Linked DNA regions of Lepisosteus oculatus. The protein of the gene in region 1 interacts with the protein of each later gene in a biochemical or structural test. Links are inferred from orthologs where the notes say so. Each region holds a gene or a part of one and is shown on either strand. Other genes may lie near its edges. The genes, in order: Na(+)/H(+) exchange regulatory cofactor NHE-RF1, cftr, ezrb and tbc1d10ab.

What was found.
Region 2: the proteins of Na(+)/H(+) exchange regulatory cofactor NHE-RF1 (region 1) and cftr form a complex in vitro, tested with the Homo sapiens proteins (9 studies listed by BioGRID and IntAct, with this or other methods). The link is inferred for Lepisosteus oculatus from reciprocal best matches to the Homo sapiens genes NHERF1 and CFTR.
Region 3: the proteins of Na(+)/H(+) exchange regulatory cofactor NHE-RF1 (region 1) and ezrb form a complex in vitro, tested with the Homo sapiens proteins (2 studies listed by BioGRID and IntAct). The link is inferred for Lepisosteus oculatus from reciprocal best matches to the Homo sapiens genes NHERF1 and EZR.
Region 4: the proteins of Na(+)/H(+) exchange regulatory cofactor NHE-RF1 (region 1) and tbc1d10ab form a complex in vitro, tested with the Homo sapiens proteins (2 studies listed by BioGRID and IntAct). The link is inferred for Lepisosteus oculatus from reciprocal best matches to the Homo sapiens genes NHERF1 and TBC1D10A.

What each region holds. Positions count from the first base shown.
Region 1 is NC_090704.1:34,890,410-34,897,774, reverse strand, and holds the start of Na(+)/H(+) exchange regulatory cofactor NHE-RF1, read right to left. Parts: upstream 3,007-7,365; 5' UTR 2,646-3,006; coding exon 2,184-2,645; intron 1-2,183. UniProt on the Homo sapiens protein: Scaffold protein that connects plasma membrane proteins with members of the ezrin/moesin/radixin family and thereby helps to link them to the actin cytoskeleton and to regulate their surface expression. Necessary for recycling of internalized ADRB2.
Region 2 is NC_090702.1:45,444,102-45,451,817, reverse strand, and holds the start of cftr (cystic fibrosis transmembrane conductance regulator), read right to left. Parts: upstream 3,023-7,716; 5' UTR 2,675-3,022; coding exon 2,622-2,674; intron 1,536-2,621; coding exon 1,425-1,535; intron 457-1,424; coding exon 345-456; intron 1-344. UniProt on the Homo sapiens protein: Epithelial ion channel that plays an important role in the regulation of epithelial ion and water transport and fluid homeostasis. Mediates the transport of chloride ions across the cell membrane.
Region 3 is NC_090697.1:44,087,922-44,095,475, reverse strand, and holds the start of ezrb (ezrin b), read left to right. Parts: upstream 1-4,532; 5' UTR 4,533-4,672; intron 4,673-4,757; exon of another isoform or gene 4,758-4,849; intron 4,850-5,382; exon of another isoform or gene 5,383-5,484; intron 5,485-5,735; 5' UTR 5,736-5,831; coding exon 5,832-5,843; intron 5,844-7,554. UniProt on the Homo sapiens protein: Probably involved in connections of major cytoskeletal structures to the plasma membrane. In epithelial cells, required for the formation of microvilli and membrane ruffles on the apical pole. Along with PLEKHG6, required for normal macropinocytosis.
Region 4 is NC_090717.1:13,823,398-13,830,824, reverse strand, and holds the start of tbc1d10ab (TBC1 domain family member 10A), read right to left. Parts: upstream 3,001-7,427; 5' UTR 1,838-3,000; coding exon 1,650-1,837; intron 1-1,649. Other genes in the region: sf3a1 (splicing factor 3A subunit 1), read right to left, coding at 6,796-6,897, 7,413-7,427.

The DNA.
Region 1 (7,365 bases):
CGTCACGTGAAGACGAGAAGGTGGCTGTTTCTCTTCAGGGGAATCCTGTACAGCTCCAAATTAAAGAAAAGGGGCCAAAAATGTTGGTGACACCAGCATGGTTTGGGCAGTGCCATAGCTAAGACAACTACTGTACATTTAATTGCTTTAAGGACACTGTAAAATCAAAAATAAAATTTAAGAACATTTGAGTTTCACAGGACTCAACCTTACAAAAGGTGGGAAAAAAACTGTTTTAAACACTTTTTTAAAGTTATTTCACAGACTCTCAGTGAAACAAACCCAGAACTTGTTACACCAAGATGCTGAATAAAACCAAGTCACCTCTTACAGTTTGGACTGAAAATTTTACAAGCTCTGTTGCAAGATGCAGAAAAGCACATTTTCAGCAGTTCTTAATATCCAGTATTTAATTTCCACACAATATCTTCTGATTTTTTTTTGGAAAGTCTTAAATAAGAACTACGAGCTCAAGAAGCATTGTTTAACTGTCCTATCGTGAAGAAATCTACTGTAAATTCAATTTAAAGGAGGCTGCAGATTTTTACATCACAACTAGTTTTCATGTGGTTGAGCAGACTGATTATCCATAATATAATAATGGCTACCCACAAAGCACTAAAAGATTGGAACAGCCTTTAACCTGTATCTTCAAAGTTCTTACGTCACATATCTAATGGGAGATACAGACGATCTTTCAGAGTAGCTAGTCAGCACACGTCACTGATAAAATGATTACAAAAAGTATACACAACTTCAATGTTTTTTTTAGCAGCACATTGGTTAGTACTGCTGCCTTGCGAATGTGGAGCCCTGAGTTCTCCCCATGTTCATGTGGGTTTCCTCTCAGTGCTCTGGTTTCCTCCCACAGTCCAAAGACATACTAGTAGGTTAATTGACTTCTGGGAAAACTGGCCCTGGTGTGAGTGTGTCTGTTGTCCCATGCAAGATGCATCAAACCCTGTACCCTTTGCTTTCTGGGACAGGATTAACTCCCCCATGATGCTGAATTGATACAGATAGATAGGTGAATGTTTCTTTCCATGGGATAACATAGCATTGATTTGACAAACACTACCCCCATAAATGTTACGTTGGAGGAGTGCCAATCACCACGAGACAGATCACTCACAGTATGCATGAACAAGAAACATCAATATTTCAGAAAAGCAGGCAAAAGCTCCTGACAAGGAAAGCATAATGTCCATGAGATGGGTCAAATTTCTGAGTATCTGCTCTGAACTTTAACAACCACGTGTTTCCCAGCCTCTGCTCTAAACAGACCTATTAACCTTTCCAGTGTGGGTCCAAGCTGTCTCCTTAAAAGTAACTTAGATTTACATTATAGTATTTTCGTTTACTTTACCTAGGTCAGCCAGGAAACGGAAGAAACATTTCTGCGGTCCGAAAGCATTACTTCAGCTGATAAATCGCGAGATGTGAATAAACTGTCGCACGTTTGGGTGGTAACAAATGTTCCTTTAAGCTTTAGCTCTGCGTTCAAAGATTGGGAAACCGGGGAAAAAAATTCCCACGCAGTTTGACGGAACACTCCTTCCACCCGAGCCCGCGGCGCTCTGCTACCTGGAGCTCTGAACCTCCCGCACCTGTGCGACAATAGAGGCGGACAAAGCCTGTGCTGTTCCTACGCTGCCCACAAACATACTGTTGGAGGCGAGTGTTAAGCTGCCTGAACCGAATGCCAAATACTGGAATTCAGCTAGAGAAACAGCCTGTTTTCACTAACTTTTCAGAAACCAGACTGATAAAACACTCATTTGTTTTTTTTTTGTTGTTTTGGAACTACACAAACTGGTTTCGTTCCATACAAAAATAAAGGGGGCTTGTTTATTAGTGTATGATGCGAGCTACCACATTGTAAATCACAGAAGTACTTACCTAAAGAGCATTACCTAGCATACTCCATTCAATCATACTAGTAATCTTAAAAACTTTTTCCCCCGAAGTGCAGGTAGCTGGCAGTTTCTCAAAATCTAATTGTAAGAGTTGGACTCTTAACAGCAACACAAAAAACAAACGCGAGACTAGCTGAACAAAAAAGAGATACAACGAGAGAAAAGTGCGGTAAACAGGTTTTCTATGCTTGCATTTGACGAAAGGGGGATTTTAAATCAGATCTCGAAACAACCGTTGGGAACACGTTTAAATTGAATCCATCTTACCTTCTCGGAGCTGACACTCGGCTTTTTCTCGCCAGTGATATCTCCATTTTTCTCCGGGGTCGGAGAAGAGCCCCGTCGGCTGCCGTTCTCCCCGACCTCCTCCTCTGACTCGCTCGGTATAGGGATGCCCGACGTGACATACTCCGGCTGGCACTTCAGGTTGTATTTTTTCAGCAGGTCGTCGGTCTCCCGGTCCACCACGATCAGTTTCAGATCCCCGGTTGTTGCTCTTATCCTGGACACCACTTGTTGGTGACTCTCGCTCTCTACGCTTTCCCCGTTGACAAACGCCAGCCTGTCGCCGGCGCGGAGCCCCGACGCTTCAGCTGGGGAGTCCGGCTCCACCAGCCGAATGAACTGACCGGTCTTCCCCTTTTCCCCGTGGAGGTGAAAACCATAACCATTCCCCCCTTTCTCCAGCGAACACAACCTGGGTCGAAGAGATTCGCTATGGCTGGACATCCTTGTTATTCTGATAAAAAAAACTGTTGAGTGTAATGTTGTCAGGTACTCCAAAAAAGTCTTATTTAAATAGGTCGCCACCAACGCCAGAAACGTGCACGGAACAACACGTTTGCACAGTTACTCAAAAAGTGCGGTGTAACTTCCAAACTTGCAGTTAAGGAAATGCAAATGGATAGATTTCGCTTTTAAAATCGTCAGACGTCTCGATGTGACTTGTCCCTGTCACCGCCAGCTGCAATTCCCTTTTTAAAGTGCACACAAGTCTCCTAAAAACTTCACGACAGTCTGAACTCTTTCTCACGAAAAGGGTTGCACTCTCCGTCACAGCCGAAAGCCTCCAATCTGGTTACTCAAATTAACTCCGCGCAGTTTATAAGGCAGCATGACGTTTCCACAGATGACAGCCAACAGCACCAATCATTGTCCGCCGTTCAAGTAACTTTACCACAAAGAGAGCTTTTATGAGCCAATGGCGACTGTCAAAATAATAGAGTAATTCAAGTTTCAGATAGCCACACGGTAAGATAATTGTTATCTTCCTGCAAAGGAAGTGCACTTTGTTGCACTTCTATTGTTGAGGTGTGCATTTTCCAATCAGCGCAACCCATGGAATTTAACCGAAGGGAGTTGAGTAATATCAGATCCCCACAAAGAACGTGTAAAGTCTGTATAAACTGCTTAGTACTACAGTACCAATCAATGCGAGAAAGAAGTATTTGAGACATTAGAATATGTAATTGTAACTTACAGTTATAATGTCGGCAACACAATTCTTCATCACAGACATAACTTAATACCTGGAGGGATTTCGAGCTCGCATAGGGGTTTATCGGAATCTTACTGCCCTCGATGGAGATCCACGGCAGCACAAGATTTTTAAAGAAAACCTTTTATGACTTTAGTAATTTGTTTTCATGGGTTAACATCTGCTGTGGTATTGGTACTGCTTCGAACACAAATGTTATTTCCGTAACGTTTTTAACAACTGAAAACTTGTTTCTGCTCGAAAGTGCCCACTCGCACAGTTGAGTAACACTAGAGATGGAGTGCGTTTTTTTTTTAGTTTCTGAGCTGTATACTTCAGGTGGAAACTGTCAGAGTAATTTGCTCCCATTATTATTGCATTGCATTATTGCAGTTACCCAGTTCTTAGCTTTCTAAAAACGTTACCCACTCTTCAAAATTCCTTTAGAAGAGAAATTTACATTTCCTTTTATACTTCTTCTATAACTTTATATCACTTTGCAAAGCCTAGACTGTTTTTTAATATTTTTAATTTATTTTTAATTTACCCAGCAGCTATATCACCCTGCAACTCACAACTAGCAACCCATTGAAGCTAAGCAGGTGGGAGCCTGGCCATTACCTGGGAGACCTGCTACCCCCTATAGTACCCTAATACCCCAAGTATGAGAACACAACACTGTCCAAAAGGCTACGCCTTGGGTGAGATATAAAACCGAGGTCCTAAGTCTCCATGGTCATTAAAAATCCCAGGGGTTTTAACAGTCATGGCCTCCTAATAATCCCCATCTATGAATTGCCTTCATCACTCTGCTCTCCTCCCCACTGAAAGCTGACATGAGGTGAGTGTACTGGTGCACCATGCCTGCCGTCACATTATCCAGGTGGGGGCTACACATTGATGGTGGTAGAGGGGAGCCCCATTACCTGTAAAGCTCATTGAGCGAAGTATCCAGAAAAGCACTACATAAGTGTAAGGAATAATTATTATCATTAATCCAAAACCAATTTCAAATCACTCTTACCAGATCAAACCAGTATTATTTGGCTACCAACATTCCATATCCCATGTTTGGGCGCTTTACCTAAGTCTCAAGGACAAATAAAGCAAACAACATGGACGCCGTGACTTCAGATTTTAAAGATTTTGCATAAAGTACCATCATTCTTTACATGTCTGTTTTTATGCATACTTTTTAAATTAGCTGTGAAGCAGTTCAATTGTTAAAAATTACCTGGCTCAATTGATAATTACACAATAATGTCTCATAAATATTTATGCTGGATTTGTGGATGTTCTTAATATTGTATTTATACCATTACAGTTAGGATATAAAAAAGTGCTCAATGCTTCCAACTTTAATGTATTTAAAGTTGGAAGTCCAACTTTAATGTTGGAAGCATTGAGCACTTTTTTATATCCTAACTGTAATGGTATAAATAATGGTATAAATACAATATTAAGAACATCCACAAATCCAGCATAAATATTTATGAGACATTATTGTGTAATTATCAATTGAGCCAGGTAATTTTTAACAATTGAACTGCTTCACAGCTAATTTAAAAAGTATGCATAAAAACAGACATGTAAAGAATGATGGTACTTTATGCAAAATCTTTAAAATCTGAAGTCACGGCGTCCATGTTGTTTGCTTTATTTGTCCTTGAGACTTAGGTATATGATTTCTAATCTCTTCCTCAAACACATGCTTGAATAATAAAATAAAAAATGAATTCTCTCTTGACCATTTTATGCATTTCTGCTCTGCCCTTTCTGAAACAGGTCATAAATAACAACATTCAATGGGCTGAATTTTTATATTGTAAAGGCCTCCTACGTAACAACAGTGTTTTGTACAAAGTAGACTAGAAAATTCCTTCATTGCATATTATTTTCTAGATTTCTGCAAGTTTTTAAAAGTAGCTATGAGAAGTCATTTTTCAGACCTAGGTTACCCCCTCAAAATATCATCAAAATATCATGAGACCTGCACATGGTGTTCTTGACATAGCAATCTATTCTCTTTACATTGATAATTTCAATTGTACCTTGTAGTGGCACTACTACAGACGATGCAGCACATTATGTATTTGAGTTAAGTAAAGTTCTATAAATAGAGAATTATAAATTGAAATAATTCTCAATAGTTTGGATGTAATGGATGTGCTCAATTAGAAATCTACTCCATAGTAACACTGCCAGTTTCCACAGAAGTCATCGGGGCACACCCAGTGCTGATTTTCTATAGAAGATATTCAGGTTTGATGCAACTAGAGTATATAGTGGATTGAGTGTGCTGCAGGCTGCGAATCAGCAAATTTAAGAACAGGAATTGTGCTTCTGGTTCTGACAGGCAAAATGCTGAAGTAACACATCCTGGAATTGCAGTGACCCGTGCATGAACTCCAGTTGCCTTTGTCAGTTTTGCATCTCATACACTTGCCATGGTATTCAGCAAAAAAACATCTACAGTAGTTAACCTCCCTGCCCTGACAGGATCCTGACAAAAAAGGTTTTTCAGTTATCCAAAAAAATATTACATGTCATTATACTGTAGTTCCAGGTCTGATGATGAAAACTGAATTGACTGATTGAATTTTATATGCTTTTACTAGCATGCACAGGATAAAGAGGAATGAACCATCCAGTTTATATATTATATATAGTTATATATTTGAGAATATAGTCAATATGCTATGGATCCGAATTGGCTGGCAGCTACTGTACAGTGTGACTTCATAGTATATTCACAACACCTACTACTGGCTGGGAACACCCTCCCAGTGACTCAAAACCATACCTGAGAGTCCTCCCACCTCTTGTACAGAACAACATAAAATATTTCTGTTGCCCCCTATCTCTTTCTTCAGTTGAATGTGAGGTTCCAAAACATTTTTAAAAAGATCCTAAAATCCAACAAGGAAAGACTCCACCTCCTCTTCCACTATGGAAAGACATATAAAAGGTACTGTATAGCCTCGATGTGTTTTCATTGTGTCCAATACAAACAATATATCACACAGTGTAAAAGAAAGACACAAATATTAGTTTCTAAAGGATGCTTCTTAATGTAGTTCACCTTCTTAATTTCAAGTTCAAGTTTATTTGTCATTCCAGCCATATACAAGTATACAGTGGAATGAAATACCGTTCCACCTGGTCCACAGTGAAAATACAGGCAGGACAGACAGGACACTGACATAGACATTGTAGACAGGATACACATAGTGCAAAGTGCAGATAGTGCAAAATACAAGGCAATATATAATCCAATATACACACCACACTGGGGGGATCTTAACCCTGTTTCTGGAATTGGGCCGGGGGCAAGTAGATTCCAGGGTGTTGAGGAGCCTGACAGCCTGCAGGAAGAAGCTGTTACAGATAATGGTATTGAGAGACCTGTGCCAGTATAATTTGATAAACGAAGTACAAATAGGACCAGAGAGAATGTGTTCCTTCCGGAAGAAGCTACTTTAGGCATATTGATGATTTTATACTCTTGAATAGGGATGTCCAACCCATGCTCTGGAAAGCCTTAATCTAGTATTACATCCTGTATTACTGGTCTCCCTAAGTTACATATTTCTAAAGAGCGGGAATACTTGTAAATTACCAATCAGTTAAGTTAGTAATTTATTCAATTAAAGGAACTCTAGTCCCTTAATTCAGTTTTGCACTACATCTTTAAACCCATTCTTTTTACCATACCATCACAATTTTTCCACGTCTTTCTAGATAAATGATTTGATGGTTACAGTACCAACAGTACCTGATGGAAGATCAGGATTTGAGACTCTTGCTGTAGACTGGAGCTGTTGGCCTCTGGGCTGTGCTGCTTTATCCTCTGCTGTGTAATGTGTGCACATGTGGGAAGGAGTTCCTTGTGTTCCTCTTTGTATGAGCTCCAGATTTTACTGCTCCATGCTGTACACTTCTCACGATAGAGCTGTTTGAAAAGCATCCCAT
Region 2 (7,716 bases), on another chromosome or scaffold:
TTCTCGATTAACATTCACAAAACTTAAGAATTATTAGTATTAAGACTACAAATGTTGCGTTTCTGAAGTGTTCCACTACGGAACACATCAAACACCAGTTGATAATAAAATAACGTCATAGGTCCACACAGATAATAGCTACTGAATTAAGGAGTATGCCTACTTAATTGGTCATCTAATGCAGAACATCCTAATTTTGAATGGGACTGCGAAATAAGTATAATTAAATGTTAATATCAAATACAAATGAGAGCATCTTAAATAATGAAACCCATACTGTATATTGTTCTTATTAAATCTCTTTTCATCCTGTTTTAGATACAACTTAAGAGTCAGAAACTTACCCCAAAGTACAACAGGACTCCATAAAAGGCAAAGGGCCAGAAGAAACAGCGGCGAATGGCATTGAGAAGATTGGGATTTTTCTTCGATGATGCAAGTTCTCTGTCCCATTCTCTACCAAAGACCGAAAACAAGGCAATTAGAAAACTGTCACTGTGTGGAAACAGACTACACAGCTTTTTTCACATAGTTAGGTTGACTCACGTATAACCAGGGAGATCTGGCTAACTTATTAAACAGTAAAGTACACAGAGACCTTGAAGATCGAAAGGGTACCAACTTGTTAATTGAATAAAAGTTCAAATTCCCAGTAGACCACATTTTTGGCTGATTAAAAATGGCTAACTATATATCACCCAACAGGGGGCTGGCAGTTTAAAAGGTCACGTTTCATGCTTATGTAAGAGAACTGCTGAGATCTAAAGAGAAATACACAAATAATGGTAAAAATAAGGGCCTGGAGGAGCTCCAGTCCCAAACAGGGTAAAAACAAGGGCAAACATCTTTTAAGTCGCATGTTTGTGTCTTTAAAGAATGACAGAGGTGACATTTGGGGGTGGCCTGCGCTTTCAATGGCAAATATCCTAATTGGTGACATTTGCAAGACTTTTTAATTATAATCGGCAATATAGCCGCATAGACTGCTAGAGATACGATGGGTAAGGCGTGTGTTTTTTGGGAATATTTCACAGTGTCTGGTGTCTCAAATGCCTACCCACATTTCAAGTAAGACCTACAGCTGAAAGTTTCAGTTGCTAAAACAAGTACTGTACAGGGTTTCTCTGGAAATACAGTAGGAAATACACTTGAATAGCAGGTCAACTAAAGGACCTGCTATTCAAAACATAAGATGATGGTTACAGTGCATATCACAAAAGGGTAACAAGAAAGAGTTATTTATAGTGTTTTTCTTTAATGTACATACAGAACAGAAATGTTATATATAATGGATATATCAATAAATATTTGTACTCAAAGACTAAAATAGTCAGATTAAGGTATTATTGCAATTAAAGGTAAAAATACAATTTTCTGGACGTTGCGCGTGAAAGCTTCAGTGAAAGATTGCGATAAATGCAAACCTTTCTAGTCTTTCAGAAAGATGGTCAGCCGAGTCAAATGAAGGCACCTGATAAACATCTGATAATTCTAATTTCTGCCTGTATCCCTTTCTCAAAATTGGTGAAGCCCACCTGTAAAAAAAAAAACAAATCATCATAAATCAGACCTACAGTACATTCACAGATGTATCACTGATTTATAAATGCCACTACTACCTACTGAACATAGATCTACATTCACAGATTTATGACAGATATCATACATGTCAATAGTATCTATTGTAAACTTAAGTAAATAGAGTGTGAAGGGGATCTTTGTTTGTAATTATTATAACCTAATTGCCTTTATTGAGAAACAACTGTCATCTACAGTAAGTATACAAACAATGTCACAATGGTTCAGTCACTGCTTCTCCTAGAACAAATGTTGTCTGTGATTAAATTTAATATATTATGGAAAGAATATACAACACAAACAATTATGCAAGCTTTTAACACATACAGTAGTTGAAAAAGTTGTACAAAACACACTGGTGTATTTACTTGTATCTACTCAGCAGTAGTTACGGTTTTCGCTATTTACTAGAGTACATGTTTTCTAAAACTACGTTTTACGTGAAGAAAACTAATGATGAATTACTTCACAGCTTTCAATACTTTCATTTGTGATAATTGTATTCTCACATTTTGACACCAAGAAGATCTCCCGCTCCAAAGTATTTAAAAAAAACACTGGCAATGTTTAACAATAGTTAACTCATAACCACATCATATAAGAAAATCGAATTAAAAAATGCGAATTCATTAAACAATAGCTGACTTCTTAATTTCCTATAACTCGGGAAAGCTTTAATGAAATCTGATCCTCAGGCACGTCGCTGCAGGTGCACTTCATAAAGTTCTGAAATAACTTCGGACAAGGTAAATAAATTAATCTGTTAGTCGTATTATATTTTCAAACTTCAATATAAAAATGAAAGTAAGAAAAGTCATGCTATATAATTATCAAACAGCAGGTTAATGAACCACGTGCAGGGGAAAGTACATACAGTATTTCTAAAAAAATATTAGGACTACCAAAACGAATAAGCTAAATGCAGATTCACATCTGCACTGCAAAACTTTAGCAAAACTTTCTTTCAATTTCCATGACAGAAGAAAAGAATCGTGGTTTCATTTTTATCCTTGACTGAAACTAGAGTAAAAAAAAACACTTACCAGAAAAAAAATCTCGAGAAGGCGTTAGCATCTTCTGCAGGTGATTTCTGCATTCTAAAACAGCTTCCGTGCACCTGAGAGATGTGCTGGTTAAACTGGTCATCTGTAAAGTCTCCAAAATTGAATCAAGTCCCCGGTTTTGTTCTCCATGTCAAGATATGTGTGCGGTGATGTCACTGGTTTAATTGGCTCTGCCCTGGTTATAGCGTGTGCGAAGGACAAACCAGAAGGTTTGAAGAGTTGCGCTGTCGAACTCCACGCTCAGAGCCCACGATAAATTCCTTGTGTGTTCTGCGTTCACTGAATATTTTCTCCTCAGTCTGTTAACCTAGAACACTCAGTACATTAAAGGGACTGATTTTGAATAGCAGTGTGCGACCCACCTCTGCCAGATTTCATTCTGAAGTTTTGATTTCCATTTAGGCAACATTGCGCAAAAAAACAGCAGGGGAATTCTTATTTCGGCCAAGGCGTTTGACAAGATGTTTAAGTCTCAATATCATTAAAGCGTTTTCTTACGGACAAGAAGAAATGAACTGGGGAATGAACACCATTTTCACAGAGCATTAAGTGTTAAATTGCAGTATGGTACATAATACAAAATTGTGATTTCTATTATTTTATAACTGACGACAAATATCAAGAAAGTTCTTTTTGCTGCTGTATCTTATTGAAGACTTTCAAGACAATTATTTTAAAAAATAATTTAAATGCAATTTGTACAGTAGTCACAGGAGAATTCACAATTATGGTAACAACCAAACCTATTCCTAAAACGGGTAAGAATAAAGGTAGAATCTGCATATCCATCTTCAGAAAAAAAAATGCAGCAGACAATTTTGTCATTTACTCCAAGCATTTCTTTTTTAAATATCCCTTATTAGCAATTCCTCCTGAACTGCATCTTGGCTCTTTGTGTCACACAGCTTCATGCAATTTAAGCAGTGTATTAGCATCTATATTTGTTAATTCTGTCCTAAACGCCTAAGAATATAAGATTAACTTCTCACATGTCTGTTCTGACATTTCTGTTTCAACTGTAAACATCAAAGGGTGGCAATGCATCATGCTTTCCTGTTTCTGATTTAAGATATTTATGTTTAGTCAGTGTTTACATCCATAAACATTTGCAAAGCAAAGCATTCATCTGTAAGTCTTGATTGTACCACACAACACTGAAAAATGAAATAAAATTTTGTAAACAGTCATGTAATAATGTGTCGGCAAACTTTTATTTGAAACAAAGTTACTCTATAACTCATGTTTTTTTACTTTGTATACAGGTATATACTGCATCATTCTTATCTTTTCAAAGCTTTAAAGAGGAGCAATAAATATTAACCTGACCCCCATAACATACAGAGTGTAAGGCAATCAATACAGAAACAAACATTATTAAAAATAAAAAGTTATGTAAACTTATTTAATCTTAAATAAGAAATAATTTTTGTATTTCAATTATATGTGAATTCAATACCTAAATAACCTTACTGTGTTACAACATCTAAGGTGTCTTCAACAGGGAAAATAGTAAGAAAGCTAACATGGTTCTCATCACACAAGGGAAAACTAAAATATTTGTTTGTAAGTCTTTTTTCCAAAATTAGATGAAAATTTCAGAGAACTCTGGAGAGGTGATCAAAAAGAAACACTAAAGAAACAAATATTCCAATCTAGACCGCATGCAGTGCTAAACGTAGGGGTCGGTGAAACACTGCTTACAACATAAGAACATGAGACCAAACAAAACCTATGGAATAACACTTTTCCAAACCAAAGAGGCTTTTTCTTTTTCTCAGCACCTACAAGCACAACTCAAGCATACAGTATTAATGATCTTTTTTGCACATTTACAAAAAAACAACTGCTACCACATTTCAGCATTCAAAACTTGGGAACCAGCTGCATCTCATGCCCAGCAATCCTCCCCCACAACCTTCTTTAAAGCTTTTACATACTGTAGCTGTTTGTACTTTAGTGCTATCTTTGCTGTTTTGGAGGAGCTGTTCAGTATTTCAATGCTACAAACAAGACCTTCAGAGACCTAAATCACTGCTATTGTACAGTATATTGAAACATTCTACAAAACTGACTAAAGTTAAATCAAATCTTTTTCTGCTTTAAATCTTCAATTATTTTATAGGAACATGTTTTTATTATAATGTACAGATGCAGTGTTTGTTTTTCATTTCTACTGTATGCACCGAAATGGGTGTAGACTTTTCAGCTTAATATTCTTAATTAACTAAAACAAAGTAACTGTTACTGATACTGGGAACTTTCTGTTAGCTTCAAGTTTCCTACATATTTTCTAAGGATTAAAAAGGTTTAGACATTCCATTGTGGAACACAGATAAAAACGGTGAAGCACAGCTACTGCTGATGGTTCAGAAGTAACCTGAGTGGACGTCTAATGAATGCATTTTAACCTGAGCCACAAAAACTCTTCGGTGAGGTAGGGGTTGATCTATGAGCCCATCCTAGAGCTTCAACTCTGACTGATTCATCCACGGTGCGACAGGGAGCGCTACAGGAGGTCATTCTTGCCTTCTGCCATAAGACTGTACAACGCATCCACCTTGCGTCTGGGCAGAGGCAACATCGACAGTGACCTGTTTCTGGACTGAACGCATCTACACATCTACTGCTACATCTGTTCTCTTTCTTTTTCCTTTCCCGTCTACAACCGTTTTTTGCCAATATATGCCAGGGACCTGTGCAATACATTTATATTTATATTTATATCTATATCTATATTTACATCTATATTTATATTCATATGTGTAATATGATTTTTCTGTGTACTGTTCTGTTCTAGTTTGTTCTTTATGTGTCCGGACTGTGGGTAACTCTTTTAGTGCACCCCTCACTGTACTGATTGTATTGTATTATTATTATTGTATCATTCGTTACACTGTGACTGTGTTGTCTGTGTTAAGCTGCTGTTGCACTGCAATTTCCCTCACGGGATCAATAAAGTACAGTATCTATCTATCAAAACACAGAAAACCGCAATGGATTTGTATTTGAATATTCTTAACATTTGGAAACAAAGTCAAGGCAAAGCATGAGACAGATACATTTTTTTTATTACCTCCAATAATGTAAAGAATAATTTTGAAAGGCTGCTGTAAAATGGCTTATTAATTGTAGAGGGTGGTGTTCCAATAGGTACCAAGCTCACAAACCAAGCCTAATCCCAGTAAAACATATAAAAACACATTATGTAAGTAATAGAAATTTCCAGAACAGTAGAGGATTACTTTTTTGTCAGAGCATTCCATAACATTGCTTCCAGTCTCTCACTGAATACATTTTTATACATTTTTGAAAACATAACTGACTCGAAATAAAACAATCACAGGTGCCAGTGACTATCTTGCCCAAAAAAGCATCCATCCAAATAAAGGGAACAAGCCCTTCTATCAAGCCCAGAAAAAAGTCCTCCAAGTCAAATAAAATAGTATATAAAAATAGGAACATGCCCCAAAATAGAACAAATGCTTATATTTGCAAAATAAGTATTGTTTTATATATATATACCTCGGAGTGTTTTAGCCAGACAGACGTAAAAAAAGAGAAACTCAAACCTTGTGAACAAAGATATTGTCAAGCTGAGCTGAAAAGTGATCCAACACACATGCCTGCCTGAGAACTCAAGTGTTTGTTCTATTTTGGAGTACATTGCCATTCTTTTTTCCTACAGACAGAATCAATACAATATAAAGGTTCCCCAAACAAAAGAAAAACAACATTTTTCCCACCCTATCAACCACCCCCATCTCCGGTCACTCGCACTCCAAATATCCAGCCAAAAGATAATAATAATAATAATAATAATAATAATAATAATAATAATAATAATAATAATAATAATAATACACTTTATTTTACTGTATATAGCGCCTTTAAAGGTGGCTTCTCAAAGCGCTTTACAAGATGACAACAACAATAAATAAGAAGAATACACAAGATAAAACACAATTACAATATATACAGGAGACCATGGATGGTGGTACTAAGAAAAGCAGAGGGGTAAAGAATGGAACCAGATAAGTAAAGGCTTTTCTAAAGAAGAGGGTTTTGAGTCTGGATTTGAAGGAGTTTAGAGAAGGTGACTCTCTGATATTCTTGGGCAGAGAGGTCCAGACCTTGGGGACATAACAGGAGAAGGCCCTGTCACCCATACAATGTAGACGGGCTTGGGGGACAGTTAGGAGACCAGAATTAGAAGAGCGAAGGTTGTGAGGCGGGGAATAGGGCGATAATAGTTCAGACAGGTACTGAGGTGCCAAGCCATGCAGAGCCTTATAGGTGAGCATGAGGATTTTAAAGTCCACACGGAATTTGACCAGAAGCCAGTGCAAGGACTCCAGGATAGGAGAAATGTGTACACTTGCACTAGACCTGGTCAGGATTCTGGCTGCTGAATTTTGGACATACAGTACTGCAGTTTGTTCAGAGTAGATTTAGATACCCCAGCGAGTAGAGCATTACAGTAGTCAATTCGAGAGAACACAAATGTGTTGATCAGCTTTTCAGCCACAGTTATTGATAGCATAGGGCATGGTCTAGCGATATTTCTAAGGTGAAAAAAAGATGTTTTGACAGTATGCTGCAAAAAGATGCCATAAATTAAATCACACAAAAGTAATGGACCCACTGTACAGTAAATCCAGGCTTGACCAGGCTGGACCACCAGTGCCCCATACTGTACATCCAAGGTGCTTCCCATCCTGGCACCAAAAACCTGAGAAATAAAATACTCTACACAAATGATGACTGGAAAAGTCAGGATCCAATGATGTCAGATAGTGGGAAGAAGAGATGGCCACCAAAAAGCCCAGAACATTTTAATCATGGTAAGACTAGCCACCAAGCATGGAGTCATCATTTAACAAGAGCACCAACAAAAATTCAAAGCAAAGCAGGTAATCGAGCAAAATATTTTAAGGATGATGTGGTTTTTGCTGTCTGCATATAAAATAAACTATATTCTGTGTTATTCTGAACGATGCATAAAACTATTTTTTCAGGACACCTGAAGAAGGCTTCACAGCCAAAACGTTGTGTTTTCTCTCTTCTTTTTTCAGCA
Region 3 (7,554 bases), on another chromosome or scaffold:
GACCACAAGTCTAAGCGTACTGTACATCCCGCGTTCATCAACCTGTTGCAGGCAGGTCTAATTTGCGCTGCTGGATTTACAGCAGATATATACAGATCTATTTTAATCTTGTACTGCTATTGGCTATGTCCGGTTACGACACCTCCCCACCTAGATCAGAGTTCCACTGTCTTTGTGTCATGGGCGTGCATTTGCGACAGGCACTGCTGGTCAAACCCTTTGAAACTCTCACGTAATACAATTAGAAACGCAGTGGTATGGGTGTAAATAGACGCTTGCATCACTGCAGAAAAAAAGTTCGCTAACGGATCAAAAGTTGTGTTGCTATGATCCTGTTTGTTGTGCTAGTAAGGTTTATTGAATATGAATTTGCAGAACGCCCTGCCACACTGCGATAGCCAGATACACCACAGAAACGTCAAAGCAACCCGGATGATTGGGTTAAACATTATTTTCTAGTTTTGGAAATAAGAGGCTATACCGTTAAAGCTGAAGTCAACAAAGAAAATTGTTAATTATAATAAACTAAATCAAATTAAAAGTCTTTATAAAGTATTTTTACTATCTGTGACAGTGAAAGGGGTGTGCGGTATTCTTATCAGTTGGCTGAGATTTTCTTGGACCTGGATTGATTCTCACCGATCTACAACTTTGATTGCTCATTCTTTTTTCACGGAAAGATCATCTTTTAGGTGTGAATGGAAATTAAAGCCCCCAGACTCACACATATATATATATATGTATTATATATTTGTATGCACAAGGCAAAAACATGCTTGAAAATTGTTTTTTTTTTTCTTGAAGGTTGCATTTAATCACTTTATCTTTTTGAATTTCCTCTGGGCTATATAAATATATGCAAAAGGGGGATATGCTGATGGCTTCAACAGAAAAACTGAATCCTGAGTTCATATAAACCATTTAAAGGTTTGGAAACTGTATGCAGAGAGGGTAAGGGAAAAAACAGTATTTTTTATTCTTTCTCACTATAAAGTCAAGATTCACTAAAGTCTTCGATCACACGATGAACGTCTAGGTTTGGTATTTGCTCATTATTTTAGAAAATCTATTTAGAAAATCTATTCAGCTTGTGATGTTGTAAGAATGTACGTGCACTGTGTGGTATGCTTAGTAAGATTCAAACAGAGACATTTATGGGATTATGCATTTTTCTTTCCAAAAATACATGTATTCTTAAATTGTTGTGTGTTACCCTGTCATGTGTCCTGTCTGTTATTTATTCTGTACCCAGAAGCAGAGTAGCCCTGTCCACATTTGGGGCACCTTTCCCCCAAAATTGAGAGGTGCTGTGGCATCTAGGAAGTGTTGTTTTGCTGGTAATAATAATAATTAATAATTGCTTACACTTATATAGCGCTTTTCTGGACACTCCACTCAAAGCGCTTTACAGGTAATGGGGACTCCCCTCCACCACCACCAGTGTGTAGCATCCACCTGGATGATGCGACGGCAGCCATAGTGCGCCAGAACGCTCACCACACATCAGCTATCAGTGGGGAAGAGAGCACAGTGATGTAGCCAATTCATAGAGGGGGATTATTAGGAGGCCATGATTGGTAAGGGCCAATTGGAAATTTGGCCAGGACACCGGGGTTACACCCCTACTCTTTTCGAGAAGCACCCTGGGATTTTTAATGACCACAGAGAGTCAGGACCTCGGTTTTACGTCTCATCCGAAGGACAGCGCCTGTTTACAGTATAGTGTCCCCATCACTATACTGGGGCATTAGGACCCACACAGACCACAGGGTGAGCGCCCCCTGCTGGCCCCACTAACACCTCTTCCAGCAGCAACCTTAGTTTTTCCCAGGAGGTCTCCCATCCAGGTACTGACCAGGCTCACACCTGCTTAGCTTCAGTGGGTTGCCAGTTGTGAGTTGCAGGGTGATATGGCTGCTGGCTGCTGGTAAGCTTCATATACACAGTAGTATGGGCTCATCCAATTACTACTGCATAAGAAGCAGAAATGTTACTACAAAGTTAAGAGACAACTACAGATATTGTACCAATATCAGCATTTCTATACATGCTGTTTCTGAACCTTTATAATAATGAAGACAGAGTAGCAGTGATCAGAGAAACCAAGATATGTCATACGCAAGCTGATTCATTAAGCATCACACACGCCCTCCCTGACTTACACAGCTTTCCTTTTAAAATGAGAACACAATAAGCTGCCACCACACCTTGACAACTTCCCCATCAAAGGTTCACTGCATGTTATCAAAAACTTTTCCATTTCTGTTCAAAGATAACAATATTCTAGCAAATATAGCATTAGAATGAAGAAGAATTAATATGTTTTCACTCCTGCATTATTAGTGAAAATTTATTTTATTTTTTTGCGGGGGGTGATCATCTCTGGATAAAGGCATAATATTGTTTACAGATCTGGGTAAAAGGATGATTATAAGAAATTGTATAATAACCAATACAGACTGACATATTTCTGTATGTTGTTCGTATATAATGCCTATTTACTGTATAAGGGCAAGGAAGAGGAAATTTTGCCAAAGAGAAATTTTCAAATAAGCATACTGATTATAGTAGTTTCTCGGGCCCAACCTTTCCTTCACAATCCCTACAAGCAGTTCTGTGTAAATGTGTGCAGTTCTTTTAAGAATCACCTTGTCTGATGATGATCATGGGTGGTTCATGGGTAAAGCATGAAAGTGTGAAATGACCAAACCGATATCTAGATTTAAACTCTGTTAAAACCCTGCATCTGATAAGATGAACAGAAGGACTCCTGAATCCAAGCTATTCCACTGTTCAAACAGGTCTGAACAGCAAAAGAATAGAAGAAGTACATTGTCAACTGTTAAAAGAAACTGAACCTATGAGTTTTACATGAGCTAGCATGAAAAAAAAAACATTTCAAATAAAAAAATGAAACAAATGGAGCCATGGGATATGAATAAGATAGCAGCTTACTGTATTTGTATACATTTTACTTACATTTAACTTACCAGTGAGAGTGATTACAAATCTCTGTGTGGAGAAAATTAAAACGTTACTGAGCAATAATTAAAATAAGAGGTTGCACATCTTTATTACAGATTAGTGTTGACCACTTATAGCACCCTCCATACAGTATGTACTGTACCTGTGATAAACAGTCACTACAAGTTAATTTTGCAAGGGAAAAGCAGAGGTGTACACAAAGATTTCCCATCACTTATGATGTGAAAAGCAGGACTAAATATATCAAAAGCATACTTATAAAAATAACAACAAAAATTTAAAATGCCTAAAGTTCAAATTTATCCATATTTTGTAAATATGATGACAACAAATGTTTCAGCTTTAATCCTCTAATGTTTGTAGTTCTGTGGTACTCTAACAAATCCTCAGATGTTTTACATAAACCTCTAGAAGTTTCTTATTCTAGTATTTGTGTAATACACATCAACATACTAAACATGAAAATACTCATGGTTTGTAGTTTTCTATCTTACATATGTAAATATTCAATATATTTTGATAACATTTGTGTAAACCATTCTTTTTTAGGTCCTGCACCATTTAATTATTTCTGAAAGGATTGAGTGATGATCACATTTTCTTCTTCAGAAATCTAAGGAATTTCAAGGAAAAAATTAACTCCTTTGTTATGTTTACAGGTCACTAAATGGTTATTTGAGCTACGGTAGAGGTTTATCACCTCTAAAAGTAGACTAACAATTCTGACAAAGATAACCTATTCAGTGAAAGTCTGTATTACGTTGCCTGTGGGTTTCTTATTATCAGTCATATTGTGGCTGTTTCTACCACAAGAAGTATGTTTACTTTACTACTTCTAGTTTTATGAACCTAATAATTGCAACTAATATTTCTTGACATGACAGACACGTTCTATTTCAGCCATGATTGATGTGATTATTGGAGATGATTGATTTTTACCTTTCTATAGTGAGTAAACAATTCACACATGGCAACGAAAGTCACTGCTCACCGCCCTTTAAATTAAAACAGGCCTTGTACTGATAGTGCTGTGTACAACATCATTTGTTTCAGAGGAGCTTCTATCTTGACAAGATAAAACGCAAAAACTTGTGAAAGATGTATTATGCCTTATTGTAAGGTGGTTTCCCTGGATCCAGCTGCTGCACATAGAAACGCATAAAACCACACACGTCTCGATATCAGATGAATTCATCGTTTATTTTTCTTTCTTAAGACATTATGTATTACATTTTCAAAGTTCGCGAAAAGTTTAGTCCTCAAGATTGTTAAAGTTACCATTCATTCGGTCGTAACTTTTTATTTATATGTACCGTAGGCGAGGCAGACATTTCAACCAGACGTCTGCCGGCTATAGTCTAAGAACACTGTAGGAGATCATTAGCCGCATGAACTCTTCGTCTTCTTTGTGTTCTGGTCTCCCTATTCACTTTCATTTATTTATTTAAATTATTCTCTCGAGCTCCACGGATGTTGTCAGAGCTTGTTGCTGATAGGAGTCGCTGTTGGATTCGCCCCAGCGGTGACAAAACAGGAACCCAGGAACAGGGAGATAGAAATGAATAGAGCACTGTAGGACAGAATGAGTGGGTCAGCCATATTGCAGTACCGCTGACTTCAGCCGAGGGAGGGGAGTTTTCGAGGCTGCGGCTCGTCAGTGATTCTAATAAAATCACACCTGCTTCTGGTAAGATAATTTATTAAGTTATATTCAAGCGAATACTTTACTGTTTTCGTAAAGTCTAGCGGGATGGTGGAGGTTATGTTACACAGCTCTGTTTTGCACTTGTTAGGTTTTCAAAGGAAATCTCTCAACAGGTGTTACAGGGATTATTGTGGGCTGTGGCTAACTGCTGAAGGTTAGGTAAACCAGATTATTTTCTCTCAATTGCTCAACCATTTGGGTAAAAAAATGACGCATCAAGGTTTAAAATATGATGGCTTTTCCTTAAAATGATTGTATTCCTCTTCAGGTGAAGCTCTTAGATTTATCTCGCAGGCTTGATCTGGAGAAAAAAAGTTACGGTATACGTGCCATTTTAAGTAAGACGTTATTTTGAAGGAAAAGTGAAAGAAATCTGTTACTAGTATCTGTCTGTATGTCTGTGCATAAACCTAAATAACTAAATGTACGGATATATCGATACTTACATTTTCTTTCGTATTGAAAATGTATTATTGTAAAGCTGATTTGCTTGTATAGAATATTAAGCACGAACACTTTTTAGTCCTGTAGCTTGTGAATTTCAAGGACGGGATCGAAAGTAACCATTGGTAATCATTTCTCCTGTGAAGTTGCACTTCAGTCTTTCTCCGTACGTGTTGTTACATTGTCAGCAGTGTGTCTATAAAACGCAAGGACGTCGGAGTACTTTCAGTTTTCGCTTAATGTATTTTAAGTTTTCTATCACGGTAGCCCTTACATTTATTAATGGTGGCGATATATTTGGTTGAATTTATTTCTGTGCGTCCAAGGGTCACACCTTTGGAGGTGCTGAGGTAAGTATTTACCAAAAAGGGTGGAGACTGAGCGACCTTTAACTAGTGGTATTGCACACTGTCGGACGTCTTTTTTTCACTTGGGTGAGGCCCGTTTCTAATCAGGAGTTACATACTTAATAATGATTCATAAACGTATATCCCACAGGTTTACCTGATTTTCTGTCACATTACACAAGCTGAACGGAAGAACAGATTTCTTCTGATAGTTTCTGAGGTCTCTCAAACTTATTCCTCTACATTTTTTCAAGAGGAGTATTTCGGAGGAAAAGTCGTCCGCGTTTGGCCCAGAGTATTGAAAGAAAACTTTACTGAACCTCTGGTGGAACACATACAGGGAACCGAATATGCCAAAGCCGGTAAGTACTTTCATTTATCAAACAATACCCTGATGGAACGTATTTTATTACACAAAAAAAAACGAGTTTGTATATCCGTGTATTTAGGATATTCTTCAATGAATGTCATACTCTTTATATTAATATACTAAAGTTTATAGCTTAAATCACGTTCTTTTAACAATGAATTATTTGAAAACAATATTGAAACTCTGCTATATAATAATGTGTATCAAGATGTGTGCAATGTTTAATATGTCTAAATTGAAAAGTATAAAAGAAAAGCAGTTAAACAACTTAATCTTTATAGAAAAAGACTTAAGATAGTTCATCATATTTATTAGACTTTTAGAATAATGTTTGGATATTCTATATTTCTGAGCTGAAAGAGACAAAATAGGTTTGATCGGTGATTTAAAGGACATTTCGAGCCAACACAAGCAAAGGTAAGCTAATTTGCAAATGTGTATGCAAGGCATGAGCAATATTTTATGGAAGGACCAGATGTGTGGCTTTTCTTTGGATTCTGAAGTCCAGTTAAGATCATGTAGCATCTTGCCTTCCACAGTTTATTGCCTTATTATAAAGTATAAATTAATATTATATTTAATGTCATTAATATGTTACTGATATTACATGATTAAAGTTACATTTCAGTATAATATTGCATATACAAATGTTTTTACTTGTTTTTAATAAGGTTCCATAGGTACAGTATATGAGGAATCATTGCTCAGATGTGAATTTCAGGATGCCCTGTTTTTCTTTAAGTAGAGATAAGGATACTGTGTGCTTTGGTTGAAGTATTTCCAGATTAGTTCAACATTCCCTGACAGTTCCTCAGAAAGATTGCAGAGGTTGTTAATACAGGATTGATGTTCAGTGAAACTAGAGCATTCAGGGACTTAACTAAAAACAAGGCTGATCTTTGTTTCATATTCTGTCTGAATCTAGAAATATCTTGTGTTTATCCTCACAAGACATTCTGAAAATAATTAAATGAAAAATAAGTTTATTTTGTTAGATTCTACTCAATTGATTACACCAAGGCTATCCCTATCAGAGTTTAATACTCTTTGTTGTTCAAGTTGCAACAGAGAGCATTTAATGGGTAAATAAAGAACAGTTAAATAAACGTATTTAAATGAATAAGTATGTACTTTCTGTTAGAAGCCTTCAACAAAATGCTTAGTAACGTGATTGACAAATCCATCTGGAGAAAGGAAGAAGAAATGTGTGCGAAAAAGTGGATTTATGTTCTGGCATTGTATCAATCAGAGTGTAATCTCTTATGCTACTAATTCTCCATAAGTAGTTTCAGTAATTAAACTGAGGGATTAATCTCATGCAGTCAAATCAAAACTATTCCACAACTTTTTGCCTTCTATTGGAAAAAGCAGGAATGTGTGCTCATAATTGTTCTTGTCCCAATAATTATATGAAAATAGTTTTAGGTCCAAATGGAGTTTCTGCTTTTTAAAGATGATATGCTAAGCCAACAAGAATATAAATGTAGTGATATTATTTATCAGTAACTTTAGTGTGACCTCTGCCTCTTATTCTTTTGTCCTTAAATTGTCATTTTCTAACATGCGTTGGCATGACAATAGTTGTTGTCAGAGGAGTAATAACCTACAGCACATTTGTCTCATTTATATGCCTTACAGAATGGATTTTGTGTTCTATGCTGTAGTTCCTCACATCTTGAATCACTGATAGCTGTGAGACGTCA
Region 4 (7,427 bases), on another chromosome or scaffold:
GGCGAGCATCTGCATCAGGGCCTACACGAGGTCAAGCCTGACTATACGCGGCCATGTTTGTGCTGCTCCACGGTACTTAGTATTGTGCCATATTAAAATAAGCATATGACAGGGCACAAAGCCACGTCATCAGGCTTTACTCAGGTTTGACCGGATGGGTGCTCTGTGCCCATCTTCACATTGTGTTCCCTCCCACCACTGCCTGGACCTGAAATGCCACATACTCCAAACCGGAACATAAGAGCCTTGTGACACCTAAACAAGTCCGGCATTAAATACGGCTGTTGAGTCATTACTTCGATGTCAACACACACACACAGCAAGTCTCAACAGATTCAAGCAGTTAGACCAGGCAAAGAAGGCTTGGACTGCGGTTTAAGATAAAAGTCCGAGTCCAAGGGGTACAGGCGGTGGAAACCGGGCGGAAGATTTCATGAACACACACCTAACAGATTCAAACGTCAAACTCTGGGACTGAGCCTCGATACCTACACAGTCTAGCTCCAAGCACAGAACAAAGCAGGAGACAATGCAATCCCATTTTCATATGGACGACTGTATGCTCAATCATTTGTGGCACTGGATTGTAATTCAGTTCCAATGTCCAGTATCCAATTGGATTGCAACCCATTGTCACGAGCCGGAATACCTCACAAAAGAGGTTATTTTTTTTTAAGCCCGTTTCATTTTGCGCATTGAATGCAAGATCTTGCTACGTGGACTCAAGCAACTGTCGAAAGTTAGTCACCGTGTTTCTGGCCAGTTAAGTATGAATTAAAGCAACATTGACATATAATCCAAGACAACACCCAAATGTGGTAACTGGTTGCTAAGAAACCATAGAAAATCCATTATAAATACTCATCCTGTTGCAAAGAAAATGCAGTTAGAAGCCACACTCGGGTGCGACCGACTCTCAAGCATTAACAAAAACGCTTTCAGAAGCCCTACTCATTACGAGGAGCTTCAGTGACCTTTCAGCAACCTGAGTCTTTCCTAATCTTAGCTTTGAGTTAAGGCTGCCGGAAAGCCCACACAATCCTGACAAATTAAAGAATGAGGATATCTCACACTCAGACACAACTGAGCCACAGCAACCAGAGCCTGGCCCTTGACGGCAGGCTGGTGTGCTCACCAACACAAGCCCCCTGGACAGCCCACCTCAGTCCGGAACCTCTTGCACTTCTTAGGTGTGTGCATGAGGAATACCTAACATGGCTAGCTTCAGAAGGGAAAGCAACCTCTTATAAGTCCCCCCCCCCTTCAGTGCTTAAAAGAGTGAATTTCCGATAACGCTGAGTATCACCACCTTCCCCAGGGTGTTGCTTATTTTGCAGAGACAAGCCGCCTCTGTCGTCACCCAACTCGCGACACTTCACACACCCACACGACACGGGGCCCACAAGGCAGAGTGCGCGACACCCACTCCCCAGCAAAACCACGGTACACGTGGGTAACGGCCTAGCTTTACCAGCCGTCCTTTGGTAAACGCGTTACAAGTCAAGCCATGGGGGGGGGAGTCTAACCCCCGGAATACAGGTACAAGTTTCACTGCGCTGTTGAGCGAAAGCGGACAACGCCGGATGACAACAACAACAACAGGAAGAAAATAAGGTCAATAAAATGACGTGCTCGTCATAGCTACTCACGAGTGTCCCGTGTGCTGCTGGGCTCCTCCAATAAACCCATATCTGTCCGTCTGGCGCTCCGTGTTGGCGAAGCCGTTGACCTCCGAGTCCGACCCGAAGGAGCTGCTCTCCCGTTCGGCCAGACTCTCGCTCGTCCCCCGCAGGTTCTGCGGATCGGAAGACCGCAGCCCATTCTCAGTCTTGGCCATGACACCTCACCCTCACACACCCACCCTTTCCCCCTGAACCCCCAAAACCACAGCGCTGAAATAGAAGGGAGGCTCTGCACCGTCTCCACCACCCCCTTCCCCTCCCCGGCCCGGCCCGGCCCGGTTCGGCTCAGCTGCTTCCTTCTCGCGGTCCCAAGCTGTTCCTCACGTCTTCACCCCTCGCCTCACGCACAGCCCGGCCGCCCTCATTGCGCACCGAAACCCCCCGCAACGCGTTCACTTCCGTGGGCAACCGGTTAGCAACACGCCGGGAAAACGACAAGGGCGACAACAAAAAGAAAAAAAAAAGCAGAATATATATGTCCGGAGCACGGAGGTGGGAGGATGCGAATTTCAATTAAAAGCGCAAGAAGCTCTCGGGGCAGAAAAAAGAAATCCCAGTTAACTCCAAGTCCGCGGAAACACCATGGCTTGAGTGTCGCACGTCTTGTTTAAGAGACCCCCACAATCACGCAGCTACAGACGTGTGGTTGTCCAGAAACATTGCCGCCAGCGACGGCAACAGTGTAGCCCAGGTCCTCCCGGCGCGCTGCGCGGCGCCGAGCCCGGAGCAGCTGCACCGCCCTGCGCGCAGCAGAGCCTGCAGCTACGGGCAAGGGGTCGAGCACACGGGCAGGGCAGTCCGGCGGCTCGCCCGCACCCCCACGGCAGGGAGCTTCTTTAGGATTGTTTCTCTCCCCCCCCCGGTCTGTGAATCCCGCAGCTCCGGTCCCGAGTGGCTCCGCAGGCCGTCCTTTCGGAGCGCAGGGATCCCCGCCGCCGACAGAGCCGCCCTCTCGCAGGTCCGATCGGCGCAGTCCCAACCAGCCACCGCCACCTCTTTTTGTCTGTTGTAGTTAACGCAGGGGAGGGGGAAAAATACTGGTGTTTAAATCCCCCGTGTTTACTCTCTTCCACCGTCTTCCCCAAATCCTTTCGCCTTCACAGCCCACACAGCAGGGTGGGGGGAGGCGGTGACGCAGGCCACCTCTCGCTGCTTTCCCGATTAATCGCCGGGCTGCTACTCTTTCTTCGCCCCAAACACAAACAAAATGATCAAACCCAACGCGTGAACACGGCGGCTTCGCCCACCCAGCTCCGTCTGCAGCTACTGTACGTTGCCCGTGGAGCCGCCCGCGCCTGCGCGGTGCTGGACAGACCCGCCCCAGCCGTGCGCAGGAAGCCTGTATTAGTGGATGCAGTCAGTCAGTTAAGTCTATGCTGTGCTTACCGATACCTGAAGCCCCTCAGACGACCCGGGATCTCGTGCAGATGATGCGTGGTGTTCAATGCATTTGCAACACGCCGGTCGTTGTCGTCGTCATCTCCGCTCAGTCTGAAAGCAACTGCTCACTTCCCCTGTATGCCAAAAGGCTACCGAGGAGCAGCTTACTTGGGGGTTTGGAAGCGGAAGGTGTTGAGGACGTCTTTATTATCCCCCGAAGGGCAACTTGTTTTACAGCTGCAGACAATCTAAAGAAAACCCAGAGACCATACGCGTATGCAGGCAGAAGATATTCGTTCGTCAAGCGAGGATATAGTCACAGGTATACACGAGAACAAAAACCTATTGGTTTTTAAAGGTTTCTCTAGCGGTATAGGATACAAGCAGAGCTTACGGTAGGGTATATTTAATTTTTTATGATAAGTTCCTCATAAAGGTTAACCCTCTGATTGCTGGCATTGAAGGCCATGCATGTCTTCAGACTGAAAATCGAATTATGTAAACAGAAGGCACAGTTAAAGGGTGAGTGCTCAAGCTGAGGTAATGTAGTTTAAGTGTTAAGCAAGTTATACCAAACTAACAGGATTATTTAACACTAAATCGTAGGGGTCTTTAGGATCAAAGCATTTTGAAAAGACCAATTTCAGAACTGGGCAAGCACCTGGCAGATGACTAATGTAGACAACTGCACAGTGTTGTTTGGAATTAGTCTAAACTATAAGAACATGCATTTGAAGATGCTACTTCTGAAGAAAATGGGTGCTTATCATCTTCAAGACGTTAGGGAAACAATGGCAAACAGGATGTTAAGATAAATATTTAAGTGTGAAAGTGAAATCAAGGGCTATTGTTAATGTAAGGTGCACTCATAAGACATTTAGAAAATTGGGAACAGCATTGGTCACTAGAATTAAAAAATGCTGCTCTGGAATCAGCTTAGAGAAGATTAATTTTATACATTCATGAGATCAAAGAAATGGCCTATGCTCCCTTTGAGTCTTCAACAGAGAAAACTATGAGAGGACCTGATAAAATCTTGAAAGTCCTCGGAAGCACAGACAAATTCAACCGCTGGAACTTCTTGCTCAACCACACAGGACACAGGTGTTAACTTTGGGGAACTGCATTTGAAACAGAGAAGAGGGGGCGTTGTTGACACAACAGGTTGCAGGAGGTTGGAGCAAACTATCCATGTTGTTGAAGTCGATGCTCTTCCAGCTTTCAAGATGCTGGAGATCTCAGATCAATTAGCTACTAAAAACCAAAGGAACTTCGTGGGGCCCAACAGCCTTCTCGTGTCTGTAACCATTGTTATGTACTAGATTAGATGTCTTCTCAAAGAACACAGCCTCTTCAGAGCTTCTCTAAAATCTGTCACTCAACTTGTTTTAATATGTAACCTGTTAAAATTAATAGCACTGTAGTAGCAAATGCATAAGAATAATTTACACACGTCTGCTTCCTATAAATTAGATGCAACATATTAGTTGTGATAGAATCTTTGATTAACCCGCGACTGTAACCTGAGACAATCAATTTTTTTAAAACCATAAAACAATACTAGATTTGCACTGGTAAAAAGTAAAAACCGTTTAATGAAAAGCACATTAGGTGTACAACGAGGCGTTTATAGGCCATTCTTTTCAATCTTGTAAAAGTAAATTGTTGTACATTGCAGTTTGTAATGGTTTGCTGCCACCTTCCAAACATTCTAGGTACTGCAAAAACACCAGACAAATTAGAAGAAAAAAATAAATCAGTTGCTGTTATTTTCAGTCTTTTGTATTTTTTCCTGTCAAAACACACAATACTGTTTTTTTAAAGATATTACCAAAGCACAATCGACAGTCCAGAAGTCATTAGCTTGGTAACCAGTGAAAGCTTTCTGCACAGAGAACCAAATGACAGAGTCCTGCTGAACTCCACATTTTCAACAGCTATTTTTGAGAACGTCAATAGAGCCCCAATAAGATTGATTAGTTAAGTGTCTAATTATAGATCGTAGGTTTGAAACTGCACCAATTTGTTCTGTGTTCATGTAGCAGCCCTCTTTAAACATCAGGACTTTGGTATTGCAAGTCTGAAAGTAAAGATCTCTCTATTTCAATATACACTAACAACATTGAGTAATAATCGCATCCAGGTTTCACATAATAATTAGCCTCTTAATCAAATTTCTTATATCAAGGAAAAGAAAATCCATGTCCAAATTCCATGTCTCAGTACAGAGTGCACTGACTCAGTCTAATTTTTTCAATAAGACCCAGCAGGACTATAAATATGACCAAGGGAACCAATAAAATTCCTCATTTTATCTTAAGAGGAAATGAAAACCACAAGATTCCATGGTCACCGATTAGAAAACAATCTGTCATCCAAACACCATGACGCATGAAAAACAAATGGGGCTTCTATACATAGAAACCCAGCAAAACTGGACAATAAATGGTTGCAATTCGGTTACAATGTAGACTATCTTGTCAATTAATATACAAGTGGGGTCTCAAACTCTTCCTGGAGGGCCTAGTGCTGGATGAAGCTCAAGAGTTTTGTACATGTATTGGATTTTTTCCAAGTTGATTTACAGTTGATCACTTAATTTAGCCAAGTAAATGTATAGTTATGTATACAATGTCAGAGACTGAACAGACATATTACAAATACTTCAGGTGGGTAGCTGCGTCAGCATGCATAGGCTGCAAAGGAAAAAGTAATAGGTTTATTCCATACTGAAAAGAGAAGAAAAGAATGTTTCAGCTGTTGGGCAACACCTAAAGAAGGCTCCACAGCCAAAACGTTTATTTTCTTCCCTTTTCACCATGGAATAAACCTATTACATGTTCCTTTGCATATTACAAATATGCAGTTAAATAAATTAGACCAATTATGTAAGAAAGCTTAGATGGACTAAAAAGTCAATAGGCCCTCCAGGAACTCTGTTTGAAACTCCTGATCTAAAATGCATTTTGGGTTATATATCTGGAACCTCTTCATTAAAACTACATAAAAAGCAGCAAATAATTGTAACCCAATGCAAGGTCCCAGGTTTTGTTTTCTAGCCCTTATGCGAATAAGCATTCATATACTGAATGTGATTGTGTGATCATTAGGATTATTCTTTCAGAGATAAAATTCAAAAGCAGCAGTAAAAAGACTAAGCTAATGGCAGATTTATATATTGGGTCTAAAAAGGAGTCAACACAGCAGCACATAATACATGAAAACTGGTACTGAAGTGATACGTGAAAATGAGGAGACTTTTATTCACACTTTTAGACAGAACACTAATCTACTCAAGGAAAGTACAAACGTGATACATTCTGAAAGTTCTTTTAATAGCTTTCAAGTTGAATTTGAAGCTAAAATAACCATGTAAATGTAATAACTAAACAGTATTATATTTATCATAAATTGTATTTTTTCTTATCTGTGTTAAGAATAATCCCATTCTACCTAATATAGCATAAACAGATTAATGTAAAATACGGTACATAAAGCAGGAGATTTTAAAACAGGATTGAAAAAACTATTACTACACCAAGGAGATAAACAAAAATTAACATCAAAATCTTGTCTTCTGTAGTGGCTGCTTTTCTGCATCTTTGGAGATGTGATCTCATGGACACCACTCTGCGTCTTCACCCTGACACACTTAGTAAGTTAACCTACAGAAAGGAAACAGCACCGGTGTCTATGGAAAGCTGTTGAATCCCATAAATCCAATATTCCAGGCTCACTTTTTCCTGCCACCCCTCTCCTTCAGAGCCAGATGGATGACAGAGCCGTTATTCATATTGTAGTAAGCCAAAGAGTTGGAGTCTTTGATGAAAATGCCCTGAAAGTGAGAGGAAAAAAAAGTCCATAAGGGCATCAAGTCATGACGATATTAGAAGCAAACAATGGAAAAAGGTCATTCTGAACTTTCTTTAGCAGTTAAGATATTTATCAAGAGGCTAGTCTGCCCTTCATATTTATTGCCTAAATCCAACTGTACAACATATCTGGTACCACCAAAACAGCCAGGACCACCTGATTAGGAGATGTAACAGGCATGACTGTGTTTCACTTTCACATCTGTCAATCATCATTACCATCAGCAATGACTACAGAGATTTTGGTACTTTCATGTCATACTTATAAGTCCGGTTATCTTAAAGTTCATTTCGTTTTGAATGAACATGTGATTACATGTCGTTACCTTTTGCACTATGCTATTTTTTTTAACTCTAGTACTTGTATTCCAAGGGTTCAGGAAAAAAAAACTTTAATAGCAGACGTTAAGAGAAATTGATAACTTGGAACAAACTTGCCATGTTGTAACAGCATACAGGGCAGATGGAGACAACTTACCTCATACTGCAGCTT